Linked DNA regions of Oryzias latipes. The protein of the gene in region 3 binds, or shares a complex with, the protein of the main gene of each other region. Links are inferred from orthologs where the notes say so. Each region holds a gene or a part of one and is shown on either strand. Other genes may lie near its edges.

Region 1 (3,650 bases), on a different chromosome or scaffold from region 3:
GAAGCCCAGGCTTTGACTGAATCTATTTTTTTTACCCCTACTCTAGGTGTAGTGGAATACCTGAGTACTGGTGGAGTGGACTGCACCCATAAGGACTTCAAAGAGCTCCGTTATAGTGACTGCCTGACCAAATTTAACTGCAACGGCAAGAACAGCACGTCGAATGGCAGGATCACCCACGGCTTCAAGCTGAAGAGCGCCTATGAGAATGGCCTGATGCCTTATACCAACTACACCTTTGACTTTAAGGTAACACCTGAAGCTGCAGGGGGAAAAAAAGCTTTAAACGCCTTTCAAAAATGGTGCAAATGTATATACTAATTTAATGTACCTCCCCCTTAGGGTGTCATCGACTACATTTTCTACTCCAAGCCTCACCTGAACGTGCTGGGAATCCTGGGACCGCTGGATCCCCACTGGCTTGTAGAAAACAATGTCACCGGCTGCCCCCACCCCCACATCCCCTCCGACCACTTCTCCCTCTTTGCTCAACTGGAGTTGCTCCTGCCCAACATACCCTCCCAGGTCAATGGGCTTCACCTGCCTGCGCGCAGGTAGTTAGACCCTGCCATACCACTAGGGGGAGCTGCAACCACACCTCCCTCTCAGTTCTGCTCCCTCCCTGTACCAGCTCTTCCCTCCAGCACGCTGGAGGAGAAAGACACCTACACAAATCCACACACACACACACACATACAAAAAACCTGTAAAATATTCGTACAGTGAGGTCTGGCTGACAGGGATTTCGTATAGATACTCTATATTTTTCTTTGTTTTTCTTTTTATGTTCTTTTTTAACTGCTTGATTCAGCCCTGTTTGTGTATCATATTTTGTGTATTGGACTCCCCCTCCTTGTCAAATCCACCCCCGCCCCTCCCACCTGCTTTGCTTCTGTCTCAGACTGCAGAGGATGGTGGCTCTTTCGGCTTCCTCTCATATGTTGTGCTGTGATGTTTTGGAGTTAGAGGAAAGGTTAATGTTGCTGAAAAAAAAAGGACATTTTAAGTGAAAAGCTTGAGAGCTGAAGGTCTGCCGGTCTGTCTGTTCTGTATAAACCTAAAACCAGCAAAGACAGCAGACCCATCCCTTTCAGACCTGCACCGCTGGCTTCTTCTTGTCCTTCGGGTCCATGGTGCACCCCTCTCGGGGGGGGGACACGGAAACAACGTTCTTGTGTTTGGGGTTTTAGAGCAGCTTTTCGAGGGGTTTCTCTGGAGTGATGCAGCTCGCTTTTGTGTGTGTGTGCGTGTGTTGGGGTTTTTTTTTTCCTGCTGTCGTGCTGTGGTGCTGAGGCCTTTTATGAGGTCATGGCCTCTTGTGGTGCTACAAGACAGTCTATGCCTCCCAGCCCCGGCACATTAACCCCACAAGAAGCCCGGAGAACCAGAACCCTTAGCTTACATTTGTCCGATTTCACCGACGCCATGTAGCTTTAAAGAAAGATGGGAGAAACTGAGCGCAGCTGCTATCTGTTCTGCAGACTATTTCACCCCCTGCTTGTGTAGTTGTTAGGTTATTCTTGTGCTAGGAGCTTATGTGGCCTGTGTATCGCCTTTTTTTTTTTTTTTTTATTTCCTGGAAGGAGCAAGGGATTCGGCTGATTGGCTGGTCCATCGGGGAGCCATCACGCCCTTTATGGGTTGTGATTGCTTTTTAGGCAGAGATGGACACACCGGAGTAAAACCAGCATCCTTCTCACTGTCGGGAGTTGCCGTCCTACTCCAAACATGCAAGCGTACATGCACTCGCATACACCAAGATCTCTCACGGGCAGATTCTGTAGCACTGTCTCCAAGGCCTGTAGTGACTTTTCTCCCCCCCCCAGCCATGCGTTCCGTTCACAGAAGCAGTGGGTTCTTGGTTTCCTTTTTTTTTTTCCACAAGTCTTTGTACAGAATAGAAACCTAGACTCAGTCTTTACATGATTGTATATGAACCACAAAAGACCTGTTTTCTGGCGTTTTTTGTACAAAGAGTAAATTATGGTCAAATTTGAAAAAGAAAAAAAAGATTGTATTGTAAACTAAGGCTAAATTTTTATCCAGTTGATGTTGAGATGAATTGATATTACCAGCTTGTACAAAAGACGTAAGAAGAGGTTGTTGCAGGCATTCGCTGCCACTACTTTGCACTCCCTAAACATTGACTGTAACTTCAGTCCCCCCCCCATCCCCCACCCCTCTCTTTTGACCCTTGTTTGATTCGCCGACTCTTTGCTATGATGTAAAATGGGCAGCAAGGAAATTCTGCCTGTTGCTTCTTATCCATTAACGACGCCATTTCTTTGTCTTTTCGCCTCGTCGCCAGTAGTTTGGTCAAAGTGACATCCGAGGACGAGTACCATCTCTTCATCATTTAAGTGGTCGATATACACCCAGCCCCCCCCCCCCCCCCCCCCCCCTCCACCAATGTACATCGTGCCTCGCTGTAGCAGTTGACTTTGTCTTGCACTATTTATAAGCGGCGAACGCCTCAACAACCTTTTCTCTTATTTTTAAATACTGTTGAGACATTTGTGAAGATTTTGTCCTTTCTTTTTTTTTTGTTAATGTTTCCTTTTTTATGAGACGTGACAATGTTATATATACATATATGAATATATATATATATATATATATATATATATACACACATAAACTCTGTCCATTGACCTCTCTAATAATCAGGTATGCTTTGTCCACTGACCCTCTCTGTAAGGAACATGAGTCGTGGGGGCGTCTTCTAAACTCCCCCTTTGATTGCTGTGCTCCCTCTTTGTACCTAAAGCACTGCTCCCACCCCCCACCCCCATCCCAGCCCCCGGCTTCCTTCCTGGCCACGCGTCCCACCCACCAAACCACCCATCGTCTTTGTAACGCCCCCCACCCAACCACTTTGTATAGGTTTTCTACTCTTGTCACTGCAGCTATAGTGCCATTTGTGGAGCCCCCTACCTCTGTGTTGGTAAAAGGTGGAAAGGCCCACTTTTCCTTTACTCTTTGTGGGGGGAAAACTTTAAAAAGAAAAAAGGGTGAGGGTCAGTGAGCTTTCCTGTCAACACGTCGCTGCAAATCCAGTTTGTCTTATTCTGAAAATCCAAGTGAAGTCTGTGAGCAGCAGCGTAATCGTTTGAACGCTCATGTGGATGATGAGCACTTATCAAATTCAGAAACGGCTTTCCTCATTCCTCCCATATTAACCACTAAAAATGAATTCTGTTGCATTTTTAATGCAGGAAAGAAGCAAATCTACAGGAAAAATAATCAATTGGCCCCTCTCTAACTTCCTTTATTATGTTGTTTTAATTGCCCCCCCCCCCCCCCCCCCCCCCCCCCCCGGCGCACCCCAGCGGTAACCAATGTGTTCAATTTTGACATTTTGTTTCTTGAATGGCATTAGTATTGTAGTAGATTTAAAGGGGTAGCTTTTTTTGTAAAGTGTGAATAAAAGATGTATCTCATGTTTCCTTTCTAAAAGATGTTGGATTGTGTTGTTGATGTGCAAATCATGAATTCTTTGACGCATCGTTTTTAACACACCCCTACCCCACACACAAACACACACTTGGCGCCGAATCTACATCTCTGGAGATCATGTAGTCTTGATGGGTTGGTCCTCCTGAACAGAAGGTTTTAGTGCGTTTCCCTAGAAACCTGGATCATTGGTATTA
Region 2 (4,241 bases), on a different chromosome or scaffold from region 3:
CCAAAATGGAATAAATTACACTAATTTAAAAAAATGTCTAAGTAGGGATGACAGAAACATCATGCCTAATGCTAAATATCTGTCACAACACCAACAAGCATACAGATAAAATACATTAAAGAGAAATTACCTGGAAAGTTTTGGCAGCGCCACCACAGCTGAACCTTAAACAGAGATTAACTCTGTTATCCTTTTCCAAAATTTCAAAGGTTCCCTCTTTCCACTTGGTGCCGCCCAGCTCAATGGTGTTAAAGCGAATCTTGACAGTGCTACCACTGGAGAGTTTGGGCACAAAAGTTGACATGGCTTGCTATCCTGATGGTCCACTTGTTAGGTCTGAATTTAAGATGTACAAAAGAAATAAACATGTCAAGAAATAGTCACACGGGTAGCCTATAATGGCAAAAACAACCTCACTTTTATGACTGCTATTGCTATTTAACCAAATAAACAGTTTAAATGAATATTTTTACCATTGCTAAATGCCACATAACAAGAAGTTAGTATTTTTGTAACTAGTTTGCTATATTGTTTTTTTTACAGAACATGCAGCACCGACGTGCCATTCTGAAGATTATAAGTGATTTAATTTGTAGCCAACAATAACATTTGCTAAAAACTTGAAATGTGTTATTCAAAATTATAATAATAAATAAATAAAAGATACAGAAACAAAACTAATATGAGATATGTAGATACGTAGCCAACATGGCAAATGCGGTTTGAAGTAAAGGAAAAAGGTAGGACTTCATAATCCAAAGTGACAAGTTAGCATAACAGTACAATATGAATTACTGCACCACAAAAATCACAAAATATAACAAACTGCATATCCTGAACGGTCATTGAATTTTAGTTTTAAACATGTTTGTGTAGAGCCTGCATTTAAACAACAAACACTGACAACTCCAATGTTGCAGAGGAGAAGCAACACATTTTGAGCTGCGTTGTGATGCTCGTGGCGCGGCCAGAACCATAGATTCAAACGATATAAACAAAAATATCAGTCTATCAACGAACTAGTCGAATAACATGAATCTAATATTAAATGTGAAGCATGCAGTGGCGTTTTTGTTTCTTTAACAGACGCTTAATATGATGGAAGAGGCCCACATTAGCAACACTGGTTCCTAAGCTAGCGGGAGCTAGCTAACACAGTAATTTGGTGATGAAAACAACCACATTCAGTGCCATCGTCATTTCATTACCTGTCTAGGATCACGGTGGTGGTTCCAAACCTATAGAATGTGGACTTGACTTCGCAGATCCTTCGAGAGCATAAAAAAGGTTTTGCCGGCATTCACCTGCTGTTCTGTATGTTTGCTGCAAGTAGAGCAGCACACTACGCCTCACAGCAACGGGCGATGATGGCGGGAATGGGAACATTTACAACGGAAATGATGAACGAGATTGCGCTCCGTTCTCCTCTCGCGATATCTGAGACGTTGTTTGTAGCGAAGTTGTCCCTGCCGAGGAAAAAAAATCAAACGCGAGATTGAAAAAAATGCCAGTGTAAACTTGGTTTATTGATACTATAACGACAATAATTTCTTTTTGTGCTTCTGTAGTTCTCAGTGTTGGGATTTCGATTGAAGTTATGTGAAGTTACGCATGTTGTGGATCCCATTTGTTAGAGCACCTAGCAACTAGCTAAGCTAGCAGTTCGTAAGCATATGTCCATGGTTCTTACGGTGAGATTTCAGGGTCGAGTATTGCGAAGAGGTGCAAACTGACGAACTTTCTATTAAAAGAGTATTTTGAGATCCCGAAAAGCTTTCCAAAATGTTGGCAACGGGAGCGGTGAGTATCAAACTATTGCATCGCTCTCACGGTGACGTTCCCTCCAATTTCGCCTAAGTACATCGAAAATCTTTTTTTTCCTCCCAAATTTCAGCTTTCTTTATTGAATTAATTTTAAAGCAGAACTTCTCTTTGCAGTTTTCAAAGAAAGACTGCATAATATTAATGAAAGCCTCGTACAAATGTAGTACAGTATGGTTTTGGTATACATGTATTGCAGTTGGCAAATCATGAGACGTTTTTGTAGTTAAATTGACAAATAATTTGATTTTGCCCCAATTTGTCATAGCAGACATTTAACAAATTTACACGCTGTCATTTCCTCTTCATGATTTGGGTTTGCAGAAGGGGGAAATTAAACGTAGGTTACATATATCTTAATTAGCGTAATGTTTTTGTTCTTGAGTGTTTCGTTTGTTTGCTTGTTTAAAGAATTGATTGCGAATGGATTGATATTTTCTTCCTATCAAAGGCTGTAACCAACGTCACAGCCCTGGCCCAAGTAGACCGTGAGAAGATTTACCAGTGGATCAATGAGTTGTCCAGTCCAGAGACTAGAGAGAATGCTTTGCTGGAGCTCAGCAAGAAGCGAGAATCCGTGCCAGACTTGGCCCCAATGCTCTGGCATTCATGTGGCACCATTGCTGCCCTGTTGCAGGTATTGGTCCACCTGTTCATTTGACACAGGTCATCCCATTGGGACTGTTTGTGCATCTGTGCCTCTTGTATGGTCTTTATTTTTGTAGTGGTGTTAAACAACTCCTTTTGTTAATTAAATTGTCCTCCTTTTTTTTTTTTTCAGGAAATAGTAAACATCTATCCGTCTATTAACCCACCAACCCTTACAGCCCACCAGTCAAATAGAGTGTGTAATGCCCTGGCACTTTTGCAGTGTGTTGCCTCACATCCAGAGACACGGTAACAAGATAGTTATTGTTACTGAAAAATCAGATTTTTATTTTTTATTTTTAGTAATTCTAATAATTAACTGCTCTTATAATGTTTTAAAGGGGTAACAGACCACAATCTGTTTTATTTATTTGTTTATTATTTGTTTAAAAAGTAACAGTCATCAGTCACTTTTAATACATACATCATACAGAATAGTGGATTTTTCCAGCATTTAGCCTTTGCAGATCTTCAGTTTAAAGCGGTTAAAAGATAATAAATATAGTATTTTCATTTTTATTAAGGCCATGGTCTAAATAAATTGTTTAATATTAAGGTTTTGTTATGTAATTCCTCAATTCACTATAATTTAAAAAAAAAAACGAACTTATTTCCATTTGCAAGGTTTAATGTGTTACATTGATTAATATGATTTTATTTGTTTTGTCCACACCAGGTCAGCATTTCTAGCTGCCCATATTCCTCTTTTCCTTTACCCTTTTCTGCACACTGTGAGTAAAACGCGTCCATTTGAGTACCTGCGACTTACCAGTCTAGGAGTCATAGGTAATTTCTCCTGCTGAGATCATGTTTTTGTTGATTTTACTTTTAATTTAAAAAGTCTTCTCTTTTAGGTATTGCTCTGATAATTCTGTTTATGTCAGATCTTGATTTGTTTGTGTGTTCTTGACAGGTGCATTGGTGAAAACCGATGAACAAGAAGTGATAAACTTCCTTCTTACTACGGAAATCATCCCACTCTGTCTTCGCATCATGGAATCTGGAAGTGAACTCTCCAAGACGGTAATTACCAATGAAATCAAAAGCAGTTTTTATCAAGCAGGAAGAAAAAAATGGATTTTGGAGTCAAACATTCAAAATATGTGTTAACAGATTTGGGTTTTGGTTTTCTAAAACCTACTCTCATGCATTTATCTATGGTATGAATTTAACTCATGTTTCTACCATTGACTATAATTCTTTTTTTTTTATCAGGTTGCTACTTTCATACTGCAAAAGATCCTGCTGGATGACACTGGGTTGGCTTACATATGTCAGACTTATGAACGTTTTTCCCATGTCGCCATGATTCTTGTAAGTATTTTAGGATTTTTGTGTTGTGCACCTATAGCATTGTTGTGATAAAGATGTACAGTCAAGACCATAAATATTTGGACAGAGACACGTTTTTTCTAACGTGTCTCTCAGATCAACTCAGATGCCATTGAAGTGCAGACTTTCAGCCTTGGTTGAACAAAAAGATTGTATAAAAATGTGAAAAACTAAAGCATTTTTTAAACACAATCCCTTCATTTCTTGGGCTCCTAAGTAATTGGACAAATTAAATAACTGAAAACAAAATGGTCATTACTAATATTTGGTGGAAAACCCTTTGTTGGCAATGACAGCCTGAGCTGACCTCTCTTGATGAGAGACTGGCGGTAATAATTGGGGAATCCCTTTTAAGTGGTGTGGTGACTGAGGCGCAGGGGGAACACCGACGCGCCAGATGCACCGGGTGACATACCCCCAAAAGCCCGCAGAGGTCCAAC
Region 3 (3,650 bases):
AACAGTCCCGCCCACAACTCAGCGGTGAATTTCTAGTGAACTCCTGCTGCTCTGCAGAAACGATGCTCTAGGAAACGAAACAGCTTTCTTAATTTTTGGCAAAAACGACATTATCATAAATAAAAGTCCACTGGGAACACTTTGAAGACAGATCGGAAGAGGATTGGAGTGGGACTTTAAGCTTGAAGAGTCTTGGTTCAGTGGGCAAGGGGCCTCATTTATAAAACTTTGCGTAGGATTTGCGTCAGAAGTGGCGTACGGATGAAACATAGGACGTGCGTACGCACAGAAATATTCGGATTTATAAAGCCGTGCGCACGCACATCCTACGCATCTTTCCCTTTATAAATCACAACCAATTCTAAATGCAGCGCAGCTTTTGCGGCTTCATGACACGCCCATAGTTGCCCATAAATAGTCCGTGAAACGCCCACAAATGAATATTCATTGATTGCAAAACCATGGCACACACCGAGAAATCAAAAAAACGCAACTTCACTCAATGTGAAGTAGAAGTTATCGTTGGCGAGGTGGAAAAGAGGAGGAAAATGTTGTTTGGAGGGCACAGTGTGGGCATTACTAATGCCAAAAAGGCACGTGAGTGGCAGACGGCGGCAGACGCCGAAAATGCTGTAGCCTCACAACCTCGGACCGTGGCCGAAATAAAAAAGAAATGAAAGAAATGGTCGGACATCAAACGAGGCAAAAAAACGTGTGTCTGCCACGGGTGGGGGACACCGTAGCTGACCCCTCTTGATGAGAGACTGGCGGCTATTATTGGGGAATCCCTTTTAAGTGGAGTGGTGACTGAGGCGGAGGGGGACACGACGCGCCAGATGCACCGGGTGACACACCGACGCACCAGATGCACCGGGTGACACACCCCCAAAAGCCCGCAGAGGTCCAACAGGACGGCTCGAGGAAGTCGGAACCGGCTCATAAGCCACTCGTCCTCGTTTGCCAGCAAGTCTTCTTGCTGTCTAAAGATGCGTTCACTCCGAATTCTTCCATTTGCCACATCTGTATCTTCTTGATGGGGCATTTTATTTCCATCCATTTAATTACATCTGACAAGCTACAGATGTCGGTAATAATCGACGTGGAAATGGGAAATTGTTCAGCGCAAATGTAATTTATTGTTGCTTTCTGAATGGTTGAGACATACGCCATACATGGTTTTATCAAAAATAAAACAAACTAAAGGCATATGCATGAATACCATAATTCTGTAGCTTATGAAGAAATGTTTTAATATGAAAACAACTTTCCCCAGTGGACAATTAATACGTCTGTCTGTCTAATTGCACCTATATCTGCTCCGCCAGACGGACACATTGACGGGAATATCAGTTTTGTACATTATTTCGTTCTGTTAACTATATTATTTATGAGGATGAATTGCACAACATGCCAATATTGTAGAACATATTTCACTTTTCTTTTTGCAAATAAGTGTTCATTTGAATTTCTGTTGTAATTTTCGTTTGATTTTTTTTATTTGTTTCACTGCTGATCGGTCCAACGGGTGTTCGTGTAGCTGTTAATTGTAAGACTTGCTTTGTGAAGTCTTCATGTTATTTCTGAGAGGCAGTATTGTCATTTTCACTTTCACGTGTTTCTTCCATCTGCCGACGGCGTCGCCGTTTCTCCTTTCACCCGTATTTGTGCGTACGCCTGGGTCAGAGCTTGCGTGAAGGACCGCACATTTTCCCGTCAAGTTTGCTTTTTATAAATATCAATTATTGCGTAGAGAGTGGCGTACGCTTTCTTTTGTGCGTACGCAACGTTTTTAAATGAGGCCCCAGATCTCCATGCGTTTGTTTATACAACATGACAGAGGAAAGCTGAGACGGACATACCCCTTTGTTGGCAGAGATGCAGCACTCAGCGAGGCGCAGCCACAGCCGGGGGTTGGAGTGGTACACCTGCACGGCCTCCATCAGACACTCGAAGGCTGCCAGCGGCCGGCCGATGTGCAGCAGCTGGATGCCACAGTTGTACAGCAGCTCGTAGCGCTTGTTGGCCAGCAGGGCGCACATGGGCATTCCTGTGAAGCTCTTTGCTTAAAGCCAGAAAGAAAACGGTGGTTATTGATGTGGCACTTCACGATGACTCTGAAAGATGCTGGGGAGAACGTGAGCAAGTGAAAAAGACCAACACTTGGACCTGGATGGTCTGCTCTGCACACGAGGACCCGCCCTCTAGAGTCAGACGAGGGCCGGGACGCTGTGCTTACCCTGGCTGCTGCTGCCGTCTCCCAGCTGAGCGCACGTGTGATCGTTCTCCTGCAGAGCCTTCTTGAAGTAAAAAATGCCCAGGTTGTGCTTCCCCATGGCAAAGTGAATGCAGCCCAGGTTATTCCAGAACATACAGCGAACACATTCACCTGGACGACGGGGAACACGGTCAGAGGAGGCAGCAGAAGCAAAGTCATTCATGACAGATGCTTTCTGATTGAATGACCACTAACTTTATTGATCCGTTTACAAAGCTTGAGTCGTAAATCCTTCACAAACATGCAGGTGATACTTATTCAGATGTTCCAGCAGAGGACCTGACCTGTCTTCATGGGTCCTGGATGCTCGGCGATGTTGCAGCTGTTCAGCAGCTTCACAGCTTTGCGGTAGTTTCCTCTCAGGTACTCAAAGTTGCTCTTCAGGAAAAGGGAGGGTGCAGACTGCAGGAGGAAAAAAAGCACCACAGTAACGACATGACCACAGTTCAGCCTGTGAGCACCAAAACTGAAATAAGCAAGGACATGTCCTCTCCAGGGTCACTGGTGAAGCATCCAGCAGCACGATTTCTATCAAAAAAAAGGTTTCTAAGTAGAAATCCAGTCATGAAAAAGATGGGAGGCAGATATAAACAAAGCTAAACTGAATACAAAGACCTGGAATCTCATGATTTTGACTGTACAGAATGGAGCTAAACAGGAGACTCAGGGTTCTCTGGACAGAGGAAGGCTGTGTGCATGGAGCCCACTGGAAACTCACATTTCCGGCTGTGTTCATCACCGATTTGATTTCTCTCTTACAGGCCTTGGAAGACTTCATCTGGATGTAGGCTCTGACCTTGTACTAGAGGGAGGAGACAGAGAGTGAGGGTTCTGGAGCAAGGCAGCAGAGTGAAGGGAGAGGACCCAGAGAGCTCTGACCTGGTGGAGTTTGTATTTTGCTGCTTCAATCATGGCTGCAAACTCCGCCCTCTGGCTGCCAGCGTCCTTATGTGAAGTGGCGCTCTACAAGCACACACACATAACAGTAATGCTTCCATCATATACACAGTGGACAGAGGAACAGGACTCTCGTGGTCGGTCCCTTCATTCCGTTTCTAACCCACAGGAAGGAGGCAGGTCGACAGTGACGCGTCAGCTGCTGCCATGCATTTCCTAAAACAGCGAGCAGCAAGAGAGGCAGCTTTAAAAGAGTAAAAAAACTGCAGCCTGTCATGAAGAGGCCCAGAGAGCAGCCGCACGAGCCGTCACTGCAGCCTGAAACCGGCTGGAGTGAGGAAAAGAAAACTGCAGAGAAACTAACTCCAGTACTTCACAGACTACAAGTGGCTCTGGACTGCAAGTCTAACTTTTGGTAGACTTTTGAAGAGCTCTGTAGTCACAGCCGCTCCATGACATCGTTCACAGATTCTCCCAG

Evidence for each region.
Region 1: cnot10 (region 3) and CCR4-NOT transcription complex subunit 6 share a complex: the UniProt entries of both Homo sapiens proteins name them as parts of the CCR4-NOT complex. The link is inferred for Oryzias latipes from reciprocal best matches to the Homo sapiens genes CNOT10 and CNOT6.
Region 2: cnot10 (region 3) and cnot9 share a complex: the UniProt entries of both Homo sapiens proteins name them as parts of the CCR4-NOT complex. The link is inferred for Oryzias latipes from reciprocal best matches to the Homo sapiens genes CNOT10 and CNOT9.

The regions. Positions count from the first base shown.
Region 1 is NC_019868.2:16,555,839-16,559,488, forward strand, and holds part of CCR4-NOT transcription complex subunit 6, read left to right. Parts: intron 1-46; coding exon 47-249; intron 250-342; coding exon 343-558; 3' UTR 559-3,650. UniProt on the Homo sapiens protein: Poly(A) nuclease with 3'-5' RNase activity.
Region 2 is NC_019879.2:16,425,482-16,429,722, reverse strand, and holds the start of cnot9 (CCR4-NOT transcription complex subunit 9), read left to right. Parts: upstream 1-1,422; 5' UTR 1,423-1,782; coding exon 1,783-1,800; intron 1,801-2,272; coding exon 2,273-2,458; intron 2,459-2,602; coding exon 2,603-2,718; intron 2,719-3,145; coding exon 3,146-3,255; intron 3,256-3,382; coding exon 3,383-3,492; intron 3,493-3,684; coding exon 3,685-3,783; intron 3,784-4,241. Other genes in the region: usp37 (ubiquitin carboxyl-terminal hydrolase 37), read right to left, coding at 131-304. UniProt on the Homo sapiens protein: Component of the CCR4-NOT complex which is one of the major cellular mRNA deadenylases and is linked to various cellular processes including bulk mRNA degradation, miRNA-mediated repression, translational repression during translational initiation and general transcription regulation.
Region 3 is NC_019874.2:7,750,015-7,753,664, reverse strand, and holds part of cnot10 (CCR4-NOT transcription complex subunit 10), read right to left. Parts: intron 3,239-3,650; coding exon 3,155-3,238; intron 3,078-3,154; coding exon 2,994-3,077; intron 2,678-2,993; coding exon 2,560-2,677; intron 2,387-2,559; coding exon 2,237-2,386; intron 2,063-2,236; coding exon 1,860-2,062; intron 1-1,859. UniProt on the Homo sapiens protein: Component of the CCR4-NOT complex which is one of the major cellular mRNA deadenylases and is linked to various cellular processes including bulk mRNA degradation, miRNA-mediated repression, translational repression during translational initiation and general transcription regulation.